2 linked regions of the Struthio camelus genome follow. Each later gene encodes a partner of the first gene's protein in a complex. Links are inferred from orthologs where the notes say so. Each region holds a gene or a part of one and is shown in the gene's direction. Other genes may lie near its edges.

Region 1 (7,550 bases):
ATTGCCGCTTTGAAGAATACTGCTGGCAAGTAATGTATCATGATGAGAGTTTGTACGCATAATGGTCGTGTGCTGTTAAATCCTAATGTTTTGTAGAATCCAAATTTATTTATATAGTGATGTGACTTCAATTGTAGACAGTTTAGATTGCACACAGCTTTCACTTAAGAGGCAGTGTAAACTTATGATCAGTCATTTTATTGTTTATAGTCAGAGGTTATAACTATGAACAGCATTGCTACATGGAGAGATTAATTACTTTATATGAAGTTAAATCAATACTCTCTGCATACCAGTTCTTGTGTGAGACATTGCATCACGAGAGGAAAAAACTATAGTGAAGAGAAAGATCCTTATGTAAGACAGCTGGATAAAATGTGTGCTAGTGCTTTCTCCATTCAAGTTTAGAGCAACTTTAGAGATACAGTTTACTTTGGAGAATTCAAAAACTTTCCTTGAGATGCTGCCTGGTGCTGCCCATTTTTTGATTCTACCAACCCCCCCTTAAGACAGCGAGGATTGCAGGGATTTTATGCTAATGCAGTTGTCTAGTCTGTATCACTGGGGGATTCTAATGTCACGTGCCAACAGTCTTGATTTTAAAAGTTTAGAAAGACGATCCCTGAGAACAAAGAAAGCCCAATAATCCCATAAGCCCTGAATATCAACCACTATCAAAGGGCTGAAGAATAAGGATTCTTGTCTTATTAATTAATTTTCAAGAGTCACAAATTTTTACACCAAAAGAAAGCAAAATTCCCAGATAATAAAAAAATGCAAGTTATTAGGCTAAGCATTGCAGAAAATGATTTTGCAGCAATGACATCTTTATTCATTGAATTAAAGTTATTCATCTTGGCAATACGTTTAGGGCAAATGAATGGATAAAGCTACATTTCGGAGTCCTTGGCTGAGGGTTTGGCAAAGAACAGTTTCCCATGGGTTATGCTTTACAGAGAAGACGCCTGATTGAAGTCAGGGGAAAGATTTTGGTTCTTTCAGGTGACTTTCAAGCCACCATGCTTAAATCCTTCTAGGATCATACAAGAAAATACTAATATGGGCCCGTATAAAAAAATTTGTACTTTTAAATTTGTTTGTGAGAAGTGAGGAAGGCCATTATGCATACAATTAGTAAAACTGCAGTACTCCTAAGTGTTTACTGTAAATCATATGCATGTTTTATATATGCAAGAGAGTTTGAGGAAAGAAGCAGACTACAACCTGAAATCCACTGTGTCATTTTTCAGTAGCCTTCCATAGGACTTAAAGTCGGTAAAAGGCATCAAGCAATATGGTAAGAAATGTGTAGCAACAGTTGAGACTAAAAGATTCAATGGGCAGGAGATTCACTAGTGATTCTGCTGTTTCAGTAGTCTGATACTGAATCTGAAATGGTTTTTCGTTGTTGTTCTAGATATATAATTAAGCTTTTTTGTAGTATCTTGTGTAAGGCTTTGATAGTTAGGATGCTGATTGGTATCCAAACACTTTTTTCATGCTTGTAAGCATTGTAGGAAATATGGGAGAGTTGTGTGTTTAGCAGGACTGGGAGCTGAGGTTTACAAGAGTACCTTCATCTTTTGGAATGACTCCAGAACGGAGCTTCCATGTTTGTTTGAGTTGCAGCACTTAAGAACAACAATGTCCATCTTTTAAATGTTACATTAAATATAAATCCTTCTGAAACTCACCATTAAGCACTGACAACTTTGTGTTAAAACAAAAGCAAACCAGGACTATTTGTCTTTTTTTTAACTCTTAAACATGCCTTTATATGTCTATTTAAGGAGAAAATGCAAATGTTTTGAATCAAACACAAAACTATGACTAGCTAAAGTTTAAATATAAGGAGAACTGAAACGGCAAAAGAAAACATTCAACAGCTTGGTTTTTTTAGCCTTGAAAAGTCTAAAATAAGCAAACTCTACAACAAGCAAACAGAGCAAATTGCTATAGCATGCTACTGGTTTTTTTTTTTTTTTTTTTTTTGCTGCTATTGACACTTTTTAATCCCCCAGTCTCAGCTCACGTTTCTTACAGTGGCTCCTCTCTGAGTTTTCCTACTGCTAATGATTACAGATAGAAAACAGTTATTGAAACACATCCACATTTGAGAGGCAGGATGTATTAAACAGGAGCGTATCAGGTATGTCTAGACTCAGAGAGGAATGTGCTTGACAGATGTATATTACACCAACTTAATTAAGGGGGAGTCTGGATTTTTTAATGTAATTTTAAAACCACATTGAGAGAATTCATTTGAAGGAGTCATAGAGCTTACATCAAGGATTTCCTTTGTTTGTCAACAGTAGCTATCATTGCCTTTAAAACATAACATGGCCAGACCTAGAACTGTATTTCTGCACTATTAAGGATATCTCTTTTCTCATTTGTATTTAGAAGATCAGTTCATTGCCAGTGTATTAATTTCACTTAAAACTTTAAATTAGTTACCTTGTAGGCCTTATCTGGGTATTTTCATATAAATAATATTATAATGTTTTCTGCTTAATTTGAAGACGAGAAAAGGAATACCAACTGCTTGGTGATGAGGAACGGAGAAAAGATTTTAAATCGGTAAACATTTAAATTGGCCGTCTTTTATGGGACTGAGAAAAATGCAGCCTGAAATGAGGAAAACCTTAAAATGTTACCCCTTAGCCAAAGGTATAGTCACTCCTTTGCAGAGAAAGTATACAGTAAGTGAATAGGCTGAAATCTAGAAACCTTATGATCAGATTGTGACTTGAGGTGCTATGATTGCGATTACAAGCTTTCAATTATGACACTTTAAACTTGATATACAAGTATACAAGAGTAGTCAGTGAAAGTGCTTTCTTGCATGAAAATATTTGACTCCATGATGGAAGTTCTATGAATTGGGGAAGGAAAAGGACAGAATGAGAACGTAAAGAGAACTGGGGAAACGATGAAGCCAGCTGATGCTATGATGGCACAGCATGAACAGTGTTTCATCTTGTTTCGTGATCTAGTTACTGAGAGATGCTCTCTGCGTGACACTTGGCTATTGAAATGGATATTGTCAGGTCAGTTTTATTAACATGCTGCAAAATACCTCTGTTTCTGCAGTAGTCTGTGATGCTTCTGAGAGTTTTTGGCATGTTTGAACTCAAACCAGTGATGCTGTGTTCCTGGCTTAGATGAGTTTTGCATCCTGGAGCGTGCTGGCTGGCTGGCTTCAATCCTATACTTTGATCTGCAGTGTTGTAAGGCTCCACTGAAGGACAATAAGCTTTGTAATTTATTTATGTTTTATATCTTTATAGCTGTTCTGATTAACCTCTACCACTGTCTTCATTTTGCTGCTTTACTCTCCTGTGAAGATATTGAAAAAATGTTAGTGCTTTAATAATTGTGTTAAAATGTAGCTCTATTTAAATTTTAGATTTTTTTTCAGATTGTAAATGAAGTGATTGTTTCGTAGTATCCACATAGTTTATTAGCTGATCTACCACCTTAAGACTGATAAAGAATAGAGTAGAAAGAATAGAAGGTACCTAAAGACCTGATGGAGAGATACCTTCATGTATAACCTTTTGAATGTCATTCCCTAAGTAGTTCCATAATGGGATTACTCCAGAAATAAGAATATTAGAATAGGAGTAGAGAGCCAGGATCCAGCCAAGGCAGTCAGAAATCTGTTCTCTTACAATTCTCTTACCAAAAGAAGTATAAGTGTGATGCAGAATAATTTGAAAAGCTTTTAAAATTTTTGCACGAGTTTCAGAAACGCTGTTCACATCAAACAAAAATAATAATATACAGAATATAACTCCTCCTTTCACAGCGCTGGGATTTGATCAGGCTGTACTTTGTTACTGCAATATGCAGTTCTCCACTTGTTGTACTTAAAAGGAAAAAAGTAACATCAACAAAGAAAAAACTCAAGCCTTATTTTTAATCATAGTGTCTCTGAAAAACATATTTATGCTGTTTTATGTAGGGCTCTGAACTGGGGGAACTTCTGTTCAAAGATGGCTCCAGACTCTCATTGACGGGAATACTGCAGATAAATAAGGTACTGTTCAGGGTCTGTTTCTAACATGCCGAAATCTTTTTCTCCCTCCAGTTAAAAAAGCTGCGTGCCTGTTACACTCTCGCAGATGGAGCAGCCAATATTGCTCAACAAGTAACCGATCAGGACTAAACAGAAATTTTCTTGCAAGATTGCAGACGTGCTGGGTGCGCGGTTTAACCAACCGCATGCGGTGGCGGAACCGCTGGGTGAAACGGCGACGAACTTTGCTTTCCCCTCGGGGCTGGGACCTAGAGGGCGGTAGGCTTTGGCGGATCCGCCGGCGGGAGGAGGAGGAGGCGGAGGCGGAGGCAGGCCGGCCGACCGGCCGGCCGCCCCCTCTCGCCGCGCAGAGGCGCAGGCAGAGGGCGCTTTCGCCATGCGCGGCCCCCGCGGCCGCCGCGCAGCCCCGGGCGCCGCGCACCCCCCGGCCGCGCTGCCGCTGACAGGCGTCCGGCGAGCCCTCCGCGGCGGCGGACGGCGGGCGCCCCTCTGCGCACCCCTCGGCCTCCGCCGCGGCGCGGCCCGCGCGGGCAGGGGCTGCGCGGGGAGGCGGGAGCTCCCCAGGGGTGAGCGTCCGCTCGCTCCCGCTCTGCCTCTCTCTCTCTGCCTCCTTCCCTTCCCTTCCCTTCCTTCCCTCCTCCTCCTCCTCCTCTCTGCGCTTTCCACCTCCCCTGCTCCTGAGTGAGCGCAGCCTCGGATGTCCGGTTTCCTGGTGGGTTTTTTACCTGGCAAACTCCGGATAACTTTGGTGAGAATTTGCAAAGCGGCTGGGAAAGTTGGGAACTCCCCTGCAGGCGTCTAGGAGCTGCTGCTACTGCATCTTCTCCATCCCACGGATTTTACTGCCTTGGATATTGCGAGGAGAGGGAGGGGGGAGACGGCAGCAAAAGAAGGGGGAGAGGAAGAGAAGGAGCCTCCTAATTTCGCCTGCATTCCTCCAAGTGCCCCGTGGCTCCGCGGCGCGCCCGCCCTGCCATCTTTGCACAATGCACTTGCTGGAGGTGCTCTCCCTGGGTTGCTGCCTGGCTGCCGGCGCCGTGCTCCTGGGACCCCGGCAGCCGGCCGCCGCCGCCGCCTACGAGTCCGGCCAGGGGTACTACGAGGAGGAGCCCGACGCGGGGGAGGCGAAGGTACGTCCGTGCCCCCGCAGCAGATGCGAGCTGCCTTCTGCAGGCATGCGCCTGAGAGTGCGCTCGGACGGGCTGCTTGGAAATCCCGCGGAGGAAAATATTTGGGAGAAGCCTTTTGAAATGGGAGCTCTTCCAAAACCCGGGGTGGGGGTTGGGGGGATTTGTTTAAGCCAAAAAAAAAAAAGAAAAAGAAAAAAAAGTTTCTGGGTTTTTTTCAGGGTTGCTGGAAGGGTGGTTGCAGAGGGAAGAACCGTGTTGACAAAGAAACGCAAAACACCTGATCAGCAAAGGCAGCCCGAGGGCTGTGCCCCTGCCGCGGTCCTTGGTGCTGCGTGGCCGTGGCCGGGGGCTGTCCCGCGGGGAGAGGTCGCGGCCGCGGCCCCGCCGGCCGCCGCTCGGCCCGGAGGCGGCAGCGACCCGCGGCTTCGGCTGTCGCTTGCCTCGGCGCTGGCAGCCGGAGTGCTCCCCGGCCGGCGGGTCCCGGCGGCCCTGGAGGCTTCTTCAGCGAGGGCAGGGCTGCGGGGGGCCGGGGGGCGCCGGCGGCTTTGTGCGGGTGCCCGCGACGGGCTCGGCGGGGCAGAGCGGGGAGCTAGCTGCTGGAGGAAGGGCTGAGCACCGCTTCGAGCAGCAGCTGTGCATAGGAATGAAGTAGCGAGGGAAACGTGTGGGGGACGATGACAACAAAAACTGAGACTTTCCATTTGTTGAAAAGTCTCTTGGAGTTATTGAAACTGCAGTGACCTACTGCTGCGTGACAGAGTTTATAGAAGGTGTAACTTGACACTTGGATTTGAAAACTGTCCAGGCGTACAGTACAGTTAAGGTTCTACATACGTTCTCAAGTTCCGATTGTATGTTAATTTTTATTTCTGTTGGAAGTTTCATAACTTAGAATTCAAGTACCTTTCAGCAAACTTTGTGGTTTTGCAGTTCCCAGTACGCTGATGCATGAAAAGGATGTGTAGTATATACTTGTGTAAGCAGGCGATGTTATTAGAAAGACCTTTGATGTCCGAGTTCGTAACAAGTCTTACCCTGATGTAGATGTTCTTAAGATTCGCAGCATACTTGTCAAAAGCAATGGTGAGTCAGCTCATTCATTATCCACTGAAGTATGGAGGAAAAAAAGTACAAAATGTGTGAATTACGAGTTCAGCTGCTATTCTGCACTTTTTTGTTTTTTAGATTTACAGTGATATTTTTAATCTGGTTAATGAAATAAGTTTAATATACTAATGCTGTTTGCTTTACTGATTGAAAGTTTAGGAAAGTTTACTGTAATTGGATGGGAAGTCAGACTCAGGTTCTGATAATGTGCATTAGCTGTACTTATTTTGGATATTCAAGCTGTTGTAGACCATGTGTAGCTCACAGAATTCATGCTTTTCCAATAATACTCTAAATAGAAAAGGTTACTGAGGATATTGTACTCCCTCTTCAGACATTTCAATTAGAGCCTGAATGCTTATATATTAACATCCTTAATGCTCTAAGTGATTATATTGCTTGAATGCTTATCAAGTATTTTGCAAATCTAAATATTTAAAAATAGGGACACAAAATCAGTCTGGCTGGTCACTTATTTTATCTTATCATTCACTAAGTTTTGCATTGTTATAAATAGTCTAAATAATTTTAAAAAAACATAAAAAACAAAGAAACTCCAGCTTATGATAGTGAGCCAGTTATTTCCTGAGTGAAATTGATTTTTGTATTGTAAACCCTCAGAACAGCCTGTGCTGAAAAGGTAGAAGGAATCAAAACTGGAGCACAGTGCATACTTTGTGCGTTTAAACTACTGAGGTAGAACAGCTGATAGTAAAGATACCCTCCTAAGTGATGCTGTACGTTTCCATGCACATGCTGTAGATAGTTACCCTGCTTCTTGAAACCTCTAAATCTTTAGGAGCTACCACTGAAGTGTGTTTTGTAGAAGTGCAAGTGTTCCCTGGAAAAAGGGGAACCGTGAGCAGAGCGAAGGAAAAAGGTCAGCAGCCTGGGAAGTGAGTGGGATAGCATATGTTAAACAATTATATTAACAAAGAAAATGATTTTGTGCCTGACTAGTGGTGAACAGTAATATGAGATTCAGCGTCTGAGCAGCCTTGGTGACGTTGGAAGTCTTAGTTGTGAGTTACCCTGATTTTTTTCTGGAACTGTTTGAGTGAGCGTGTATTGTGCGTGTTTGTCCCTGGGATGAGAGACTATTGAGATGAATGCCTGGAGTAATTAGAAAGGATTAAATAAGTAAACTGTAAGTAATTAGTTCAAGGAAAATGTGATTATACTGTCAGTAAAAAGTCATTTACTTGAACTTTCTTAAATCAAATGAAAAATGCGTGCTGGCTTGTGTTTGTAGATTTTTACGGTTTCCCTGT
Region 2 (8,031 bases), on another chromosome or scaffold:
TTGCAGAGCACCAGGACCCGTTATCAGGTGCCTCCAAGGGCCAAGAACATGAGCGATGCCCGCGAGGGCCTGCATCCATCGTGTGCCACCGGGGTGGCCACGCATGAAGGATTTCTGAGCCCAGATGAGGGGATTTCCTCTGCTTGGAGCGCGTTTCCCGGGAGGCTGCAGGACCGCTCCCGGCAGAGGGAGCTCCGTGCTCGGCCAGAGCATGGCCCGGGCCCCGCTGCACCTGAGAGGCCGCGGGACTGGCTCCCCCCAGCTCTAGCTGCGGTGCCACCATTAAAGCTTCGAAAGGCTGCTGCCTGCTGTACTGGCTCGTGTCTTGCAGACTGCAGAGGAGCCCGAGGGCTGGGGTATGGCACGACCCAGGGGGATGTGGAGCAGCCGTGTGTGGCTCCGGTCCCTGTTCCGGGCCAGGCTGCTTCCCCTCTGCCCTGTAGCACAGGAGCTAGGAAGAGAGATGGTCCTGGAGGGCTGGGCGGCGGGGATGTGTGTGCAGCGGTGTTTGGGTTAGGGCAGCCCGTGCCAGCGCTGGGGACCTGGCGGGTGTGCAACCTGCCGCGCAGCTACTTCTGCATTGAAGCAACTGGGGTTTTAGATGTTCTTCTGATCCCAGCGAGGGACTTTCCCTTATGGGAGCAGTGGCTGCAGCGGCCCCGCCGTACCCTTGGGGCGCTCCCCAGCCATCTTGCCAGATGCTTTTAGCCTTTTGCTGACCCCCTTGGTCGGACTGCTTGGAAAGGGGGCCGTGTTGGGGGAGAGCTGGCAGCGAGCGCGACGCCCCAGCCTGGAGGAGTGGGGAGGGTTCGTCTGAGCCAAGCCCAGGCCTGGGGCCTCCGCGTCCCGACAGCGGGCACCCCGAGGGACGTGGCTCTGCCTGTGCCCCAGCCTCCCCGCTGCTGCAAAGCATGAGGCAGCAAGGGCCGAGCACGGGACGGCCTTAACTGAGAGCCCAGCCAGGGACTCGGGTCTCTGTGTGATCCGGAAGCCGCCCCGTCCTGGCTGGCTCTGGAGCATCCCGGGTATGGCGGATCGTTGCATGCGGGCGCTCGCTCCTTCCTTGGCTTTGTAGCCCCTCTCGTGCCCGCGTGCACCCTCGCGCCGAGCACTGGCTTGTCCCGCCGTAACGGTGGCGGATGCTCCGGCGGCACCGAGCCGATTCCTTCCCCCCCCGGAGCAGCCCTGGCGGGAAGGCAAAGCCGGGCTCCCCCAGGGAGAGGTCGACTGGATTCTGCTGCCGCGGTTTTCGCCCGCGGGGAGGCCGGCTGCATTGCCGTCTCGCCTCGGCGGTGCTTCTGGGAGGCCGGAGGTGCTGGGGCCGGGTGGGCGGAGGCCTCGGCCGTGGCCGGGGTGGGATTGCCGTGTTTATGCCACCGAAGTCCGCTTCGGGGTCAAAGCGGAGGCCGCCGCTAATCCGGCCCCGCGTAGCCTGAGGTGCTGGCGGGAGCGAGGGAGCTCTCGCTCTGCAGAGGCTCGAGGCCCTGCGCCGCGGTGAGGGCCAGGAGGGCTTCCCGGCTCCTTACAGCCGTGCCTAAGGACGTTCGTCCCAGCGCGTCCTCCGCCTGTCCCTCTCCCTGCCCCGCCGGGCACGGGGGCGAGGGGCTCTGCCTTGCAGCGGCCGGAGGAGAGCGCCTTGCAGGGAGCGCGGGCGGATGTCCCCGACGCCTGCCTGCCCTGCTCTTGGCGCGTCCCCTCGCCGCCCGCCGCGAGCAGGGGAAAAGCAGAGCAGGAAGAGCCGCTTGCTCGGACAGGCTGCAGCGAGCGGGCGAGATGCCGGGGCGGTTCGACGGCAGCGGCCCGTCGTCTCCCCCCCCCACCCCAGGGTGGCTCTGCTCCCGAAACGCAAGCAGCTCGGGCTCGGGAGCGAACGGCAGCCATCGCCGGGCGGCGGGATGCCTGGGGGACGGCGGCACCGCGCTCGGCACGGGCTGCCGGCAGCGAGCGGCACCGCCGCCGCGGGCCCAGCCCCGAAGCGGCACCGCTGCCTCCCTGCTCCTCCCTGAAAAAAAGCCGCGTTGCACCGAAGCCCGCTGCCCGGCGGAGCGGGCATCCGAGCGCGCGAGGGCCCGGCCTCGCTCTCTGTCCCCTGGAACGGGCCGCGTTGTCCTGGCTGCTCCCCTGGTCTCGCTCTGCCGCACGTCCCGCCGTTAGATGGCAGCACGGGCGGGCCGGTCCCCGGCCGGGTGCCAAATTTGGACTGCACGGAGCTAAGCGATGCCGAAATGCTTCGGCTTTCGGGGTGCCGGGGAGGTCGGGCCGCCTCTCGGCGGGGCGCTCCCTCCAGCCTCTCGCCCCTGCTCGCGGCTCCATCGCTCTGGCCTTGCCACGGCCGGGAGCACCGGGGCGGCGCGGCTCCGCCGAGGGACCCCATCCCGCGCTGCCCGGCCTTGCCGGGGCCCCCTCGGGTTTTGGGCCGGGAGGTTGGTTCAAGACGAGCGTGCTGAAGAACAGCCCGGCCGGGTGCTCTCGGGGTTAAAAGCTCGCAAAATCCTCGCTGGGGCCGTGCTTGCGGCGGCTGCGGCTTGCCTCGCGGGCCGGGCAGAAGGGCTGCCGGTGTTTCTTGCGCAGGCTGGGCAGCGAGAGCGCTCGAGCGCGCAGAAGGTTTTCGCGCCTGTTTAAAGCCGCGAGCACACGGGTCTCCTTCGGGCTTCTGCAAACGGGCCGTGATTAATAAACCGCCGCGGCGCAGCGCGGGGCCGCGTTTCTTTATTTATTTAAAGCTCCGCACGACGCTGCGTCCGTCTGCACGGAGATTACCGGTTACTAGCTGCTAATTGAATGGCATTTCTGCACAGCTCTCCGCTTTCATCTTCTTCGCGGGGTTTTTTCCCTCTTTCTTCATTGCTTGGTGGCGCCTGGCCCAAGAAGGAGATTTTTTTTTCCCTCCTTCCACCAGCTCTGGAGCTCCTGACCGCCCCGGTACCCCGGGATCCTACGGCCGGCCGCAGGGACCCCGCGGGCCGGCAGGCACCCGCGTCGGCCACCCGTCGCGTCCAGCCGCCCAGGGTGCTTTCTCAAGGGACGGTTTTGCAGGGGCGCGAAGCCCGGCCTCGCTGGCAGCGGCGCGGGGGCAGCGGCGCTGGCTGGGGGCGCGCGCGGAGCTGCGGCAGCAGCTGGCAGCGCCTCGGCGCCCGCGGCGCAGCCGAGCGCCTTCCCGGCCGCGCGTGGCAGATGGCATCCCGCCGTCCGCGGAGGAGACGGCTGCGGCCCCCGGGGCAGCCGAGGGGCGTGCGGAGCGGCCCACCGGCCCCACGGCTCCCGGCGCCCCTCGGCTCGCCGAGGCGGAGGGCTGGGGCTGGCAACGCGCCTGCAGGATGAAGAATGACTTGAAAAGGGAAAAGCGAGCGGAAAGAAAGCAGCGAAGAGCTGGCGGAGGAGGGAGCAGGCAGGGAGCAGCCCGTGCCGCAGAGGGTGTCTCCGCGGGCCGGCGTGCGCGCCGGCCCCGTGTTTCGTGGCACGCACGTGTCTGGGTGCGGATTCGGGCGCGGGTCTGTCGGCGAGGGGTGCCGCATGCCACGTGTAGCGGTGCTGGGGAGCGGAGCGGGTGTGCAGGGGGCGAGGGGCCGCGCAGCGACGCGGCTGCCCCACGCTGCCGGCGGCGTGCACGGGCGGGCTGCAGCACCGGGGCGCCCTCGCGCCCCCCAAGGCGAGGGTGTGCGGGAGCGAGGCTGCGCCCGGGGCGGGAGGAAGCGCGTGTGCGTCGCTGTGTGCCCTTGGGGGGTGTGCGGGGGGAGCGGGGCTGCAGGAGAACTGTGTGCCTAGGCGTGCGTGTGCAGGTGTGAGGTGTGGGGTATTGCGCGCGCGTGTGTGTGTGTGCATGCAGGCATGAAGGGGTGTGTGCGTGCAGGTGTGAGGGGTGCATGTTCAAGTATGAGGCTTGTGCGTGTGCATGCTGGTGCGAGAGGATATTTGTGTGCATTCCCACAGGTCTGAGGAAGTGTGTGTGTGTGCACACTAGCACAAGTAAGGGGCAGGGGGTGCATCGGCATTTGCACGCAGATGCAGGGTGATGCGTGTCCATGCAGATATGAGGAGGAGCGCAAGCATGCCCACACGGATGCAGGGGGTATGCACATGCGGACACACAGATGCAGGGCACCCATGCACGCAGATGCAAGGGGATACACACACTTGCACAGAGGCATGGGGAGGACGCACACCCGTGCACGCCAGAGCAGGGAAGAAGCACAGCGACACACACAGGTGCAGGGTTCTGCACACACAAGCACACAGGTGCAGGGGGATGCAGACACATGCACACAGGTGCAGGGAGGGTACACACACAAGCAGATAGGTGCAGAGTGGTGCACATACGCACACAGGTGCAGGAGGATGCACACACAGGTGCACACAGGTGCAGGAGGATGCACACACATGCACACGGATGCAGGGTGGTGCACACACGCACACAGGTGCAGGGTGGGTGCACATACAGGTGCACACAGGTGCAGGGTGGGTGCACACACACACACACAGGTGCAGGAGGATGCACACACATGCACACAGGTGCAGGGTGGTGCACATACAGGTGCACACAGGTGCAGGGTGATGCACACACACGCGCACACGGGTGCAGGGGGAAGCACACACACACGCACACGGGTGCAGGGGGATGCCCATGGCTGCCCACGCATGAAGGAGGGCTGCAGCGGGGAAGCAGAGGCATGCACTCCGGTGAAGGGAGGGACGCACATGCACACACACACAGAGTCCCCCCGCCGCCCCCCCCCCGGTGCAGAGGGATGCACACACAGCCGTGCGGGGACACACGCCCACCCGCGCGGCGGCGCGGCCCCCGCACCCAGCGGCGGGGCGCAGGCGGCGCCGGCAGGTGCGCCCCCCTCCCGCGCCCCGCCCCGGCCCCGGCCCCGGCCCCCCCGCGCCCCGCGGGCCCGGCGGAGGGCGGCGGGCGGCCGGCCGGGCGGGCGGAGGAAAAGGAAGCGGCCCCGGTGCTCCCCGCCCGCCGCGCGCGTCGCCGCAGCTGGGGCGCGGCGGGAGCAGAGCTCGGGCGCGGGGCGCTCCGCTCCGCACCGCTGCGCACCGCTCCGCGCCGCCGGGACCTGCCGCCGCCCCGGAGATGAAGAGAGTTTGCACGCTGCCCCTCTGGCTCTGGCTCGGCTTTGTCTCGGAGGCAGGTGAGCGGCACCGGCCCCCGCGGGGCGCCGGGCGAGGTGGTGCCCCCCTTCCCCCCCCCCTCCCCACCCCGGGCAGGCTGCCGGGCGGCTGCGCCCCTTCTGCCCCGCTGGCCGACGTGGGGCGGCCCCGGCGGGGCTGTGCCGGGAGCCGCCGCTGCCGGGTCTGAGCCCCGACGGGCACCGCCGCTGCCCGCGCCGGCATCGCCCGGCCCCGACGGGGCCGCGCCGCGCACCGGCGCTGCCGCCCCGCTGTCCCCGCTGGGGACGTGCCGCGCCCCGACGGGCACCGCCGCCGCCCGCCCCGCTGTCCCCGGCGGCCGGGATGGGCCGGGCCGGGCCGGGCCGGGAGGGCGCCGTCGCGGTCCCCTCGTCGCCGCCTCTCGCGGGGCCGCGGCGGGGGCTGCGGGCGCGCCGGCGGGGCAGCGCGCAGGCCGGCTCCGCGCTCCGCTCCTTCCCTGCGCAACGCTCCTCCTGCCGTAGCGCTTCTGGGGCGAAAGGGCCTTGGGGCAGAGAGTTGAAGCCGCGGGCCGCGGCGCGGTGCGGATGGACGCCGGAGCGCGGCGGAGAGACGGGGCTGCGACCCAGCCGCCCGGGGCGCGGAGGGCAGGGTGCTGGGCCTGGCGGGGTGCGCGTGGCCAACCGCGTCTGCTTTCCCGGCTGAGCCTCCGCGGCCCCGCGTAGCGCGGCGCTCCGGGCTGTTGCAGCGGGGTGCGCGTTGCTGTGGGTCCGCGGGGGCCCTCCCTTCCTGCGCAGAGCAGGGAGCTGATTTTGGTGCCAGGAGGCTGCAGGGTGGTGAGTGGCGTATCTCGAGGGGTACCAGGCCACCGCTGCCAGCGGAAAGTGGGCACGGAGCAGGCAGGGAGCGACGTGGGGCGCTCGCCACCAGGCAGGAGCCCAGGGAGTGGGCGTGGGGCACCAGCTCCACCGTCTCAGGCTGGGCACGCTCCTGGATGCAACAGCAAAGCGTTGACAGCCCAGATAAGAGCGAGGCTGCCAGAAAAGTTAGTAACGCAGGAAGCTTCCAACATGGGGAGATGAATTTTGGGAGCATAAATAGAATTCGCTGTAACCTCAGCTCGGTGACTCACTGTCACCGGCTGCGTTTGCTGCCGTCGTCAAAGCGAGCTCGCAGGAGGGCTGCAGGTCCAACCCGTCCCTGCTGCGAAGGGTACGGAGGTGTGTTATGGGGAGCATCGCTGGCAGAGGGCACTGCCAGGGCAGGACCACGGGGAGGGCACCACACGGAGAGCTTGCACTGTCCCAAATGCTGCCAATTTGCCTTGTGTCCTGGACTCGCCAGGCTGTTGGACCTCAAGGGGAGCTCCGGGAGGCAGGGTAGAAAGGGACTTGCTGCTGGTGGCATTGCGAAGAGAGCTGCAGCTGTTCAAAGCCCTTTTGTTAGCAATTTGTAAAGCATCTTGTAGCTGTTCCTCAGGTTCTTTCATCTCCCGGAGGTGCTGGGAGCTTTGCCTTGGGGATACTCTGACCAGCGCGCTGCTGCGTGATGTGTGGGCCTAATCAGCTAAGGGCTGTGCAGAGCTTTGAAGCTCTCCAGCGCTGCCTGATTAGTGCCACAAGGAAGGTTGACACAGAGCTCGACTGTGGGACCCAATGTCTCGTGCACAAAGCACCCACAAATTCTTCAGTGCATCAAATCCCCATTTAACGTCTTTACAGCTAGGTGCAAATACTTGCTCTCCCTGGAAGCAGGGACATGGGTATGAGATTGGTCCACCCAGAAGGTAAGAAGGATCTTGAGACTGTGAAAGATTTCTTCTGCTCTCACTCTGGTTCCTGTGTCCTGGGTATTGCTGCACCCCATCGCTGGGCTAAATGGGCCATCGCGGATTGGGGGTGTCTGCCTCTTTCTGAGAGCGCGTGGCCTTTCGCTCTGTCCCGGCTTGGAGGTTCTCTGCAGGGCGCGTGGTGGACGCGGGCTGCTGCCCTCTGCCTGGATGGAGCAGCCGCGGTGCTGCCCTGCGCGCGCACCATGGCGGGGAGCAGACGGGGTGCGTCTCGGGGTGGCCCTTTGCGGACGGCGCGTGGGAGCGTGCGCTCCCTGCCCGGCTCTTGCAGCGGCGGTGAGCAGCCACGCTCTGCGCCAGGACGAGAGCTCACCGCCCCGCAGCCGAGCAACGTCGGCGGGGGACCCCAGCTTGCCGCTTTGAACATCATCTCTCAGAAGGGCCCGTGCCTGTGTAGGACGCGGGCCGACTGCGTTGGCTGAAGCCGCGTACCCTCCTCGAAGAGCGCGCAGACCTCCCCCCGTCCGGGTGCTGCTCGGACGGTGCCAGCAGCAACATTTGGGTTTGCAGCTGCGATTTGAAGCAGTTGCTTTATTGCAAGTAATAAACAGGGGCCATTTCGGCAACACCCTTTCGTGAGCGCGCAACCAACCCCACTCTGGTTTAATCCAGCCACTTGTTAGTGCTGAACCAGATCCAGGGCCGGGGAGGCGGGCGATGGGGGGGCTGCGGGGCCGCAGCTCGCGAGCGCTGCTGCGGGGCTCCCGGCGAGGGGGCGGCCGGAGCCCCCGTGCCCTGCTGTCTGTTTAAGGAGAAATTCAGATGAATGGGCTGCAATTACCACCCTGGGATTTGGCTCGGGCACGCGAGCCAGCGGCTCCGTGCCTGCAAAAACAGCCACGAGGATGTTTGTTGCCGAGCTGGAGTTGACGTCTGGCCGGGGGACACACCCCCAGCGGCACAATGTCCCCGGGGCAGCGCGGGACGGGGACGGACCCATCCCGGCCAGGAGGGGGGCTACCTCCGGCATCGCCCACCCCGCTCCGCCAGCCCGCCGAGGGCTCTGGCACGCGTGCCGCCGCGCGCGCGGCATCGCCGCCCCCGGGGGGGCGTCTCTGGACCCCGCGGTCGGGCCGCCCGGCGCCCTC

The links. The genes of interacting proteins can lie anywhere in the genome.
Region 2: the proteins of VEGFC (region 1) and FLT4 are in contact, whole or in part, in a crystal structure (PDB 4BSK), measured with the Homo sapiens proteins. The link is inferred for Struthio camelus from reciprocal best matches to the Homo sapiens genes VEGFC and FLT4. Residues at the interface, in NP_005420.1 of Homo sapiens: Leu119, Asp123, Trp126, Gln130, Asn167, Arg210; in NP_891555.2 of Homo sapiens: Gln172, His199, Asp200, Ala201, Leu202, Tyr203.

Annotation. Positions count from the first base shown.
Region 1 is NC_090945.1:47,927,092-47,934,641, reverse strand, and holds the start of VEGFC (vascular endothelial growth factor C), read left to right. Parts: upstream 1-4,477; 5' UTR 4,478-4,739; coding exon of another isoform or gene 4,740-4,790; 5' UTR 4,791-5,028; coding exon 5,029-5,172; intron 5,173-6,102; exon of another isoform or gene 6,103-6,216; coding exon of another isoform or gene 6,217-6,255; intron 6,256-6,275; exon of another isoform or gene 6,276-7,550. UniProt on the Homo sapiens protein: Growth factor active in angiogenesis, and endothelial cell growth, stimulating their proliferation and migration and also has effects on the permeability of blood vessels.
Region 2 is NC_090954.1:7,201,650-7,209,680, reverse strand, and holds the start of FLT4 (vascular endothelial growth factor receptor 3), read left to right. Parts: upstream 1-4,988; 5' UTR 4,989-5,080; coding exon 5,081-5,138; intron 5,139-8,031. UniProt on the Homo sapiens protein: Tyrosine-protein kinase that acts as a cell-surface receptor for VEGFC and VEGFD, and plays an essential role in adult lymphangiogenesis and in the development of the vascular network and the cardiovascular system during embryonic development.